Linked DNA regions of Arabidopsis thaliana. The protein of the gene in region 1 binds, or shares a complex with, the protein of each later gene. Each region holds a gene or a part of one and is shown in the gene's direction. Other genes may lie near its edges.

The links.
Region 2: TAF7 (region 1) and HAF01 share a complex: the UniProt entries of both Arabidopsis thaliana proteins name them as parts of the TFIID complex.
Region 3: TAF7 (region 1) and TAFII59 share a complex: the UniProt entries of both Arabidopsis thaliana proteins name them as parts of the TFIID complex.

The regions. Positions count from the first base shown.
Region 1 is NC_003070.9:20,628,071-20,631,824, reverse strand, and holds the start of TAF7 (TBP-associated factor 7), read left to right. Parts: upstream 1-2,132; 5' UTR 2,133-2,334; coding exon 2,335-2,449; intron 2,450-2,823; coding exon 2,824-2,957; intron 2,958-3,054; coding exon 3,055-3,174; intron 3,175-3,320; coding exon 3,321-3,671; 3' UTR 3,672-3,754. Other genes in the region: SCL33 (SC35-like splicing factor 33), read right to left, coding at 103-138, 706-783, 1,007-1,149. UniProt on the Arabidopsis thaliana protein: TAFs are components of the transcription factor IID (TFIID) complex that is essential for mediating regulation of RNA polymerase transcription.
Region 2 is NC_003070.9:11,855,127-11,858,880, reverse strand, and holds the start of HAF01 (HAC13 protein (HAC13)), read left to right. Parts: upstream 1-2,115; 5' UTR 2,116-2,317; intron 2,318-2,529; 5' UTR 2,530-2,619; coding exon 2,620-2,665; intron 2,666-3,371; coding exon 3,372-3,475; intron 3,476-3,650; coding exon 3,651-3,713; intron 3,714-3,754. Other genes in the region: AT1G32760 (Glutaredoxin family protein), read right to left, coding at 1-630. UniProt on the Arabidopsis thaliana protein: TAFs are components of the transcription factor IID (TFIID) complex that is essential for mediating regulation of RNA polymerase transcription. Core scaffold of the TFIID complex.
Region 3 is NC_003070.9:1,405,404-1,409,157, reverse strand, and holds the start of TAFII59 (TATA BOX ASSOCIATED FACTOR II 59), read left to right. Parts: upstream 1-1,626; 5' UTR 1,627-1,729; exon of another isoform or gene 1,730-1,952; 5' UTR 1,953-1,973; coding exon 1,974-2,099; intron 2,100-2,199; coding exon 2,200-2,286; intron 2,287-2,515; coding exon 2,516-2,617; intron 2,618-2,710; coding exon 2,711-2,819; intron 2,820-3,100; coding exon 3,101-3,201; intron 3,202-3,277; coding exon 3,278-3,415; intron 3,416-3,502; coding exon 3,503-3,598; intron 3,599-3,754. Other genes in the region: AT1G04960 (golgin family A protein (DUF1664)), read left to right, coding at 153-227, 329-361, 464-541, 644-700, 958-1,137. UniProt on the Arabidopsis thaliana protein: TAFs are components of the transcription factor IID (TFIID) complex that is essential for mediating regulation of RNA polymerase transcription. Required for proper pollen function. May stabilize the interaction of TFIID with selected promoters.

The DNA.
Region 1 (3,754 bases):
AGGAAGATGTACCACTTTATAACAATCCTGTTGAAGGACAACTGGCGATATGATCCCCTGCAACCGAAGATATCAGTAAACATGAAAAAAGCAAGCACTTGCCTGCTAGCCTTGCAAGTGTCAGTACAAAGATGACTTCTTGAAGACTTGATTCATCTTCACATAGAATACAAACTCAACTTCACTTCAATTCTTCACTACCATATAGAACATCTTCATAAGAACTCTAATTACTTCTTTGATGTCTTCAATTCTTTAGATTCACTGCTAAACCTCAACAACTTCAATTAACTCACTCATAGTGTGTTCAGACATGGAACATATCATCATGTATCCTTTTCCTTAAGCGACTAAAAACTATGAGGTCTCACCAGGTACTAAATTCTAAACGACTAATCCACCTAACGACACCGAAAACTAGTGGTTTAAGACCACAAGTATGCTCACTGTCTATTGTCATGTCACAGAAAATTACTATCTGAAAAATATGGAGCCTAAATTTAATTTATGAAATCAGTTTTTAAGAAGATTCTCATAAGGCCCTAGTATCCATGAGAAGACACAAAGAGATGACCGAAAGAAAAAGGAAAGGCAGATAAACGTAGTAAACAAATCAAGAAAGAAGATGTGAAAATAGGGATATTTTCTAATCAGAACATAAGTAAAAATCAAGTGTTGGTTGTCCTATTTACAAAACATGCTCACCCGGTATAATAATCCCTTGGCAGGTAAATGTCCTTGACAGGACCAAACTGCTCAAACGACTTCCTGAGATCTTCTTGCCTGAAGAAAAGGACAAGGAGTAAGAAGAGAATTACAATTTGCTAAAAGCCAAGAAATGAAGATACATTGACGTCAACTTTTTGAAAACCTTTACAGTAAAGATAAGAGAACATCATGCCAAAATATGCTAAGAGGTGTCAAGTCTTCTTGCTTAAGAGGTGTGCAAACAATAACATCATCCACAATGGCTGAAGAAAATAATAGAGAAGTCAAAAGTATGTACCTGCAATCATGGCGTAGATTGCGAACCAAAAGACTGGTCGGGAGGTCCCTGCTACGACCTCCATATCGGCCTCTAGGGCTTGGGCTTCGACCCCTCCTCCCATAACCCCTAGGTGGTGACGGAGTGTAGCTCCTTCCCCTCATTGAGTCAAGCTTCAATCTCTCTATCAGTCAGTCAACACAAACTAGATTAGAAAATACACCAAAAGAGGTTGGATATTTAAGAGAGAAGAGACCACAAACACAAGAGCTATAACACCAGCGTCTAAGAGAACTTTAAAGAAGCAATCAATCTAGAAAGATCATATTTTCTAATTGAATAGTAAATTATATCAAAATAAGATCACATGCAATTCAGGTAGAGATCGAATCAGCTCAATTTCAAAAGATAGGAGCTAAGAAACGTTATATGTGAATAGGCACAAAAGATCACAACTTTCGTCAAACTTACTTAAGATGAACGATTCAATCCTTTATATCGATGTATAGACATAATAATTGCCTGATCTACAGTTTTTTCCGTCACGGGATCTTTCACCGGACTCAAAAAGTTGTACGGGCAACGAAGTTGTTTACAATTGAAGGAATCGAAGTCGGAAAAGCCAAGTTTATTCGACAGAGAAAGAAGAAGATACGGGTATATACGGTTGGGAAGAAGAGCAAAATATCAGGGATAAGACTTACCGGTGAACGAATCTCGGTGGTGAGGAACGACGGAGAAGTGATGCTGCAAGAATTGGAGAAGATTGATCAATGAACGACTTATTTATTAGGGTTTCTTTATATTATTTACGTTTTACATTTAACCCCCTCAAAATTATTTTAAAGTATTAAAATCCCCTTAAAGTTTTCTATTTGATAGATGCTCCATTCCAATTTCTGGTAATTAAATTATCTTCCTTTTTATTATCATTATACATTTATACTTAGTGAGATCAATTATCTAAGAGGAACTAAAAATGTAAAATTCAATAGAATTAAATAGCAAATTGGTGATTTTTCACCAATTGTTGGGTTCTGTTTGTACCTTTTATAATTATTTTGGTCAAAACATAAATCTTGAAACCTTTAGGGAGGGAAATAAAATAATAAATTGTTAAAAGGATACTTCTAGAAGGTTTATCTTATAATGTCTCTCTCTCTCTCTCTCTCTCTCTCTCTCTCTAACATAACAAAGAATTCGTGTTTCAGTTCAATAGATTCTCGTCTCTTTTCGACTTACGACATCAACAGACCGAAGTATACGTATTCGATACGATCTGCGTTCGCGAATTCACGTTTCTGGATTGATTAAGAAGAAGAATTCAAGTCAAGCTGTTGGTATCTACAATGGAAGAACAGTTCATACTTAGGGTTCCACCGTCTGTTTCAGAACGAATTGATCGGCTTTTAAGCGAGGATGCTTCTACTTCCGACGAAATCCCTTTGGATTTGTTTTTTTCAGGTACCAATTTTTAAAGGGTTTCTCTCTTTTTTGGCACATTACATCTGGGTTAAAGTTTCATCCTTTTTCTTAAATTTATGTCCTTTAGTCGTCAATCAATGAAATTAGTGTCTGGATCGTTTCGGGGATTGCTCCTTGTGTCACGTGATGAGTTCTTGAATGTTGGTTTGCCCAAAAGACATTCTTGAATCTGATTAAGGATCAAAGCTTGTGATTTGTGTCTCCTGGATCAGCTTAATGTTGTGAATTGTCTGTTTTGTCAAAGAAGCCAAAAGACATTCTTGTTGCATCATTATAGTTTGTCTAGAAATCCATTTGCATATTGTCTCTGGAGCAAACTTGATACGTAATGTTTGTGTGAACTGAATTTGCAGAGGATGGGAGAAACGGGACGTTTATGATTGGAAACGACGAGTTCCCGGCTTCTCTGCTTGATCTCCCTGCAGTTGTTGAGTCTTTTAAAACTTATGATGATTGTGCATTAGTCAAAACTGCTGATATTGGGCAGGTAAAATCAAGTTACTTGATTCATCTTTTACTTATATGCGTTAACTTCTGTAATTTTGGACTAAAACTCAATATGGATGCTTTGATTTGGCACACAGATGATCATGGTTAGGGAGCCTGGTGATCCTGCGCCTAATACAGTTGAATACAGACATGGTCTAACTCCTCCAATGAAGGATGCTCGAAAGAGGAGATTTCGTCGAGAGCCTGACCTTAATGTAATTTTCATTTGTTGTTATCTATCCATCAACATTGTTTCACTAATACTTGTGATTATGATTGAAAGTCTGTAGTGAAACGTATCTTTTGGAACTCCAAAGTTCTTTCTATTAAGTTAACATATTGATTTGCCAAAATGTTGCAGCCGGAGCTTGTACAGCGGGTTGAGAGAGACTTGTTGAATATATTGAGTGGCGGAACGGTAGAAAATGTAAGCTTTTCTTTCTATTTTCGACACATGATGTGTCTATATTTGCTCCTTGGATTTAGTAACTTCATTTATTTGAACTTTTTTTGGTGTAGGTACATGAGCAAGAGGAACCAGCTACGAACGAGAATGCTAGTAATGCAAGTAAGAAAGTATCTTCTTCTTCACCTACACCTGTTGAAAAGCCTGAAGCTCCTGAGACAGGCACTAGTAATCCAACAGGAGTTGAACCGGAGAGAAGTGAATCAGAAGATTCTGATGATTCAATGTGAGTTTATTATTATATAAAGAGATTTTTCTTACGAAAGCTTAGAGTTTGCGCAAGTCCTGTCTTAGAAAATCATGGATAATTATGTCCCCATGATTTGATG
Region 2 (3,754 bases), 8.8 Mb from region 1:
GGATAACTCTTCTCTAAATCCTCTATCCATTGACACATCTCTCTCACAAACCACTACACCAAAACTCTCAATCGCAGCTCTCACGGCGTTACACGCCTCAAACGTCCGTCGAACACCGCGCAACGACGTCGTATAAATCACAACGCGATTCTCTCCGCCGTCACATAACCTCTCAGATTCCTCCGCTAATTTCGGATCTAACGGTTTCAAAACCTCGTAATCGTTAGGGTTTTTCAAATTAGGATCGGAGTTCTCTTTCTTTAATCCGCCGGAAAATCCATTACATTTCACCGGAATCGGAGAGAATCGACAAGTATCGCCGTCTAAACCTGACATTAGCTCCCAGAAGTTAATAACCTCCGTCGTCGGCTCAGACTTAACCATCATCATCGCCGCCTCCTTACCGTTGATAGTGAATCTCTCAGGCGGAGTCATTGGCGTGATAACGGATTTGGCGGAGGAGGAGGAGGAAGGAGACGGAGGAGAAGGTGAAGAAGAGTCGAGATTGAGAAGACCGTAAGTGGTGGAAGTTAGCTTGACGAAATGTTGGCTTAAGGAGGAGCTGGTGAGGTGAGAGAAGCTGCTGTCATCGGTCGGAGTAAGGAGGTTGGAGGAGACGCAACCACCCATCGCCGGAGATTTCGAGGATTAAGCAACGTCGGAGAAAAAATGAATCACGGAGATTGAGTGAAAGAGAGACGGTGAAGTGAGATTAAAGACAAAATAACATAAAACTGCTAATTAGATAAAACTTGTTTATATAAATACAATTTTTCTAAAGTTGGGAAGTGACAATGCACGTGGCTTTGGTGTTCTTTTTAATCCATATTTTTCGTTGAATAAAGAATTCTTTTTTCTTAACAAAATATTTGAGATATTTGTTTTGTTTGATTTTACGTTAATAAAAAAGAGAAAATACAAGGCTTAATTTTAGAACTAGGATTTAGAATCAGGACCACTATTTGGTTGGAGTATAAGGAACAGAAATTGATTTTGATAATTTCGTTAGAAGGAGATAGAGACATTTAACAAGTCAACAAAGTTCATGATGGTTATGGTAAAAATAAAAATAAATTCCTTGTTTAGGTTAAACTAAATAAAGAAAAAATTGCTTGTTGAGGTACATTTGAAAATGTTGAGGTACAATTGTTGAATGGATAATGAATTTTATAAAATCTAATAAGGTAATATTGAATCAATGATTTGGTATGATTATACCATGTTCTTCTTGTATTGGTCGTTGCGATTAAATTTGATGACTAAAAATTAAAGAACGAAATGAGAAATAAATGGCATAATTTATTATAAAATTCGTTGCTGGTTGTTCAAAACTGACAATGGAAGAAAAGCTGGATTATGTTCATTTAGGCCGCTATATTTTTCACGACTCCTACGTTGTTAGATCAATATCTCTATTTTTTCCAACGACACTTCTATTTTTTCAGCGACATCTCCGATCTGTCTATATGGATCATTTTACTTTATTTTTTTTAACGGCTACTGCCGTTTTACTTCGTCATAGTTACCGACGCAGTGGTCCATAAAATAAAAGAACCTATATATTTTCTTAATATCCATTTTTATTCAATCTGGTTTTATTTAATATTAAATTTTTTTATATAATTAAAATCAACATGTTATTGATTTTTATATATGTACAAGGTATGCAATAAAGAGTTTCACATCCGATGTTATTCGATGAAAAAAATAAAACTATCAATTAAACTTGTGTGCCTTAAATTTGGATATTAGAATGTTAGTCGATCGAAAAAATAAAATTAAAGTGATTAAAATATTATTAAAAATTGAAAATTTAAATGTAGAACTATAACAGTTATGTTTTTATAATACTTTTAAAATTCAATTTTCTTTTGCAATTTTGGTAGAAAGATATTTTAAAGAAATATCATAGGTATATATCTATTAAATTCGTAAAATTACCACTGATTAAACAACAACAAAAATTACTTCAGAACCGACTCTATTTCTGCTTAACCACCTCCATACCAAACAACGAAATTGATTTTTCCTGGTTAAGAAATTAGACCCGGACTCAAACTTTATTCGGGTCGGGTTATAAAACTTTTATAAATGCCCTCACAATCTTGTCTTGGTCGCTTCGCAATTTTCTTCTTTTTTTTGTTATTACTTTTTTTTTTCCTCCGATTTGAGAGTTTGCTTACCTCGGAACTTCTCTCCGACATCGTACCGTCTCGTCCGATTGAGCTGGTTTACCTTTCCGGCGAAGCTTACTTGTACCCTCAATTAGGGTTTCAAGAAAGAACCCTCCAATCCAACAATCTCGTATCAGTGAATGGTATCGTATCGTCTTCTTCAATTTTATCCAATGCTTTGATTGCAACTCAGCTTAACTCGAAAATTGATCAATGGGGTTTCGATTTGGTTGTGATTTTAAAGCCAAATTGAGACTCTTTTGATGAAGTTTCAGATAAAGAAGTTAGCTTTTTTTGTTTCCAGGTCCGTTTAGGTTGGCTTGTAATTGTGTAGTTTTTTTTGTTTCTTTTGAAGGTTTTGATTGAGTTTTAATGGTTGGGGATTTGGGAAGGACAATTGCCTTGTCGTCTCCCGATTGTCACCATTGTAGTTAAATCTTTGAATATGGCTGAATCCAATGGCAAGGGTTCCCACAACGAGACTTCCTCAGGTATATATATGTTGCTTTCTTTATCAAAGTTTGTTGCTTTTCTTTTTTCCGGTCCAGTCCATTGTCGACATGATTTCTGAAACTGGAGATGCCCCTGTCTAGCTTATGATTGTTCTACGGTTTTGAATATTTCGGATTAAGTCTCTTTAAGTAGAAAAGGAACAGCCTTGAGTGATTCTGAGTATTGGTTTGTAGGATCTTAATTGACAAAGAGATTGGAAATATTAGGTTGTGGAATTTTGGATTACTACAGTTTGTGAAACTAGAGATGTCCCTGTCTAGCTAGTGTTTGGTGCATTTAGGCTAGCTCATGACCGATTTACGGTTTTGAATATTTTGGATTTCTTTAAGTAGAAAAGGAGCAGTCTTGAGTGATCCTGGACATGTTCTAGGGTATAGTTAAGATTATTTTTTCTAAATTTCTAGAGGGAATTGAGTTTGTAGGATCTTAGATGACGAAGAGAATGGGAATAGTAGTTTCACTAGATGGAGGCTACTGTAGCCTGATAAGATGATGGAGAGGAATCCAATGATTATGTGACCTTGGATTTAGCAGTTTAACAAGAGTGTTAACATGCAATCTTTGTGATTTCTGAATACTCGTGATGATAATCAGTTATCACATGCATTCCCATTTTACACCAATATTTTACATGTCTGCCAAGATTTGTTTGGTGAACACCAATATTTTACATGTCTGCTGCAGATGACGATGATGAATATGAGGACAACAGCAGGGGTTTTAACCTTGGATTCATCTTTGGAAATGTTGATAACTCTGGGGACTTGGACGCTGATTACCTTGATGAGGTAATCTGTTTTACGCTTTCAGTATGATGACCTTGTTGAACACATTATTTTCATTATCGGTCTCAGTTTTTCTGTCTATTCTCTCTGGACTTAGGATATATGTATTTTATTAACTATGAGTTGCAAATTCTCCACCAAGCATACCTGTGCCAATGCTAACATTTAAACTTTTCAGGACGCCAAAGAACATCTTTCTGCATTGGCAGATAAGCTGGGTTCATCTCTACCAGATATAAATGTAACGTTCTACACACTCTTTAATATTTTATCTTCTAAAGT
Region 3 (3,754 bases), about 19 Mb from region 1:
GCCCTGAACTGTTTTTCTTCACATGTACAGTAGAGTCCTTTGTTTCTTTCAAATTACAGCTTGATTCTCATATCTGCGATTTACTCCATCTATGCCTTTCTTTGATATTCATTTTAATGCTAATGCTCACATGGAATCTTGCTTCAATTCAGGTTACTGAGATGAGATCAAGCATTTCGCAAATTGGGTTTGATTTTAAGCAACTTAATGAAATGATTTCTGGAATAGTAAGTCTCATCATTGCCCTCTAATATGCATCATTGCCCTCTAATATGCATATTTTAAAGGGGCTAATATATCTTTACTCTCTTATATGAAATTTTTACAGGAAGGGAAGATTGAAAGTCTTGAAAGCAAACAAGTAATTTGTCTACAACCATTAGATACTACAAACCACTTCACGCTATCAATTTTCTTAAAACTAATTGATCTCAAACAGATATTTTTTTTGTTAAAATTTTAGGATGTGACCCTCTCTGGACTATGGCATCTATGTCAAGTTGCAGGCGTTAAAGACAGCACAAGTACTAAAGTATTTCAGGTGAGTGTTAACTTACAAATTAAGTGAAACGTTTTCTTACTTATTTTTCACGTAGTTATAGGCCTTAATGAAAAAAATCTTGTTTCTGGCTTTGTGGTTTAGGATGTTGGTGAGAGATTACCTATTGATGGAAAACCATCCACTAATACTTCTCTCTCTGTAAGAATGCTACTATACCTTTTTCCATCATATAAATGTGCATTTCCATTCTGTTGACGCAAAAAAGTTGCTTATAGTGAAAAAATTCAACGAGATGGTTGATCTTGAATTTGCATATATTCAAGGCAATCTCTCATCAAGCTTATTCGAATAAAAATTGGAACCTGAAAATACTTGTGGTAGTAGCTGTTATTTGATGATTTCATGTCATGATGTTTCTTTGGCTTTCTAAAACTATAAAACTATGGAAACTCCAGGGTCTGCGGTTTCTGACGGAAGGCAAAGAGGATGCAAATGTAATACACAAGCCGGTTATGGCGAAAGAAATTATGGTGATGGGGGAAAAAACAAAAGTCACTGCAGCGGGAAGAAGCAGAGTTCATAGAGCGTTTCCAGGTGGAATATCTTGGGTACGGGATGTTTCAGGACTATCCTAATATTATTTTGGTTGATATACAAAGAAATTGCTTGTATTCGTCCCAAATTCTGATACTGGGACTGGCAATTATTTTTTCATGTAAAAAGAAGAAAAATCTACATATGTTATTGCATCCACCAACAATTTGGTTTGCCCCTAATTATATTTGGTCTTGATGTTTGTAAAGAAAGAGTGTGATTAAGGCTTTCACGTATGTTGATGTCTTCATTGATTTGGACTTTTGTGCTCCTTTTTCCTTTTGTGTTTGGATCAATTTTGTTTGTGTAGAAAATAGAAAGAACTACCACAGAAGACAGAACTACTGTCTTGAAACATTTGTTTCGTCCTTTCTCGTAGGATTAATTGTCTTTAGTTGGCAGAGAAATAAAATATTTCGCTCTTATTGGGCCTTGGCCCAAAATAGATATAGAGACAGCCCAAATTTAATTTAACCCGAAATAGTCCAACCGGGTGAATTTGACAGCAATTAAAAAACCCGGCCCGGCTTCTTATATTAACAAGAGGCTTGGCATCGGTTAATCGGAGCTTCTTTCCTCTCAAGTGAAGTGTCTGGATCTTCGTCGCTCAACGCAAATCCCTCTCCGGTTCATGTAAATTTCCAACTTATTTTTGTGCTCGAATTTTGGTTAACGGGACAAATTTCACACTTTTACGGAGTATGGAAGCAGCCTTTGTCTTCTGGGCTGTTGAATTGCGATTCATTGTGTATGCCCAACAATGGTTTAATTGGGAGGTTCCAATGATTTTTTGTGCTTTTTTCTTACTTAATATAACCACTGTTGATGTTTCTTCTGTGTCCTTGTATCGCCACAGTGGATAAGCAGCCTGGGGAAGATGAGCATTGTACCTAAGGAAACGGTTGAGGTAATAGCTCAAAGTATTGGGATTACCAACTTGTTACCTGAAGCTGCTCTTATGCTTGCTCCTGATGTTGAGTATCGTGTCCGAGAGATCATGCAGGTTACCTTCTTTTTCTAATCATGTCTTTGTGTTCTTGAGGTGAGTTTTCTGGTATCAGCATATTGATCTTTCTGTACCTTCTCTTTGGATGTCCTTTCAGGAAGCTATCAAATGCATGCGTCACTCAAAGAGAACGACTTTAACAGCTTCGGATGTAGATGGTGCTCTCAACTTAAGGAACGTTGAGGTACAAACTCGATGACCTATTTCTTACTTCCCATTATCTAGAGTTTTGGTTGTGTAAGCTTCCTGGTTTTTGTAGTTGAGTGACAAAGATATATGGTTTCTAGTTTTGAGGTTTGGCTTTACTGGTGCATATGAATAACACCATCTGTTACACATTGCTTTCACATATTTCACTATTGTAGTCAACTGAATCAAAGGCATCTTTTTGAGAGTGATTATATCTATTGCAGCCGATATATGGATTTGCCTCAGGAGGGCCATTTCGTTTTAGAAAAGCTATTGGACATCGCGATTTGTTCTACACTGATGACAGAGAAGTGGATTTCAAAGATGTAAGATGTTGGAAAAGCTGGCATGTTTTTTTTGTTTCAGTTAAATTCTTCATTTTGGGTTCCTTATGTTTTCAAGAAATGTCATGATTCTAGGTGATCGAAGCCCCGCTGCCAAAAGCTCCCCTTGATACTGAAATTGTTTGTCACTGGCTGGCTATTGAAGGAGTGCAACCAGCTATACCAGAAAATGCTCCTTTAGAAGGTTTGTCTCTCAATCTTATGCCCTGGGCTAGAGTTGTAAAGTCATTATATGAATTTTTCAACATGAAACAAATATTAGTATGTACAATGACGTTTCAGAGGTGTATAAACCTCTTTCTACAGTTACCCCGTGTTAAGTGGTGAGCTTACTGATGTTACTGAAAGATCAAAATACATATTTTCAGATCCATCTGTATTATTGTTTTGCGGATCCGCATGAGCAAGAAATCCTTGTTCTTTCCTATCTTGACTATATTTTTCACTTGTTTGTGTTGTCTCTAGTCATTAGAGCACCTGCAGAAACCAAAATCCATGAACAAAAAGACGGACCTCTTATTGACGTTAGGCTACCAGTGAAGCATGTACTATCTAGGGAACTTCAGGTATATGGTGCAGTCTAAATATCATAGGGTAATATCCTTACATACATAGGACTTATCTGTTGTTCTCTCTTCACAGTTATACTTCCAAAAGATTGCTGAACTTGCAATGAGCAAGTCAAATCCTCCTCTGTATAAAGAAGCATTAGTGAGCTTGGCCTCAGACTCAGGACTTCATCCTCTAGTTCCATATTTTACAAATTTCATTGCTGATGAGGTAACATTATGCACCACCGAGGAACTAGTGTGAACCAATAAGACCCACGTTAAGTTTTTGCAGTTTTAATTTTCTCCACTTGTGCAGGTTTCAAATGGCTTAAATGACTTCCGACTCCTGTTTAATCTAATGCACATTGTTAGAAGTCTTCTACAGAATCCTCACATACACATAGAACCTTATGTAAGTTTTCTCTGGATTATCTTTTGCCACTATCTAAAAAATTGTAGAATCATGTAGCTCCATTTTCTTTAGGCTTCTGATTTGGGTTTCTTCAAGTTCTATATTAGACATATTCTATATAATGGGTATCAAATGGTTAGTGGTAGTGTTTGTCCG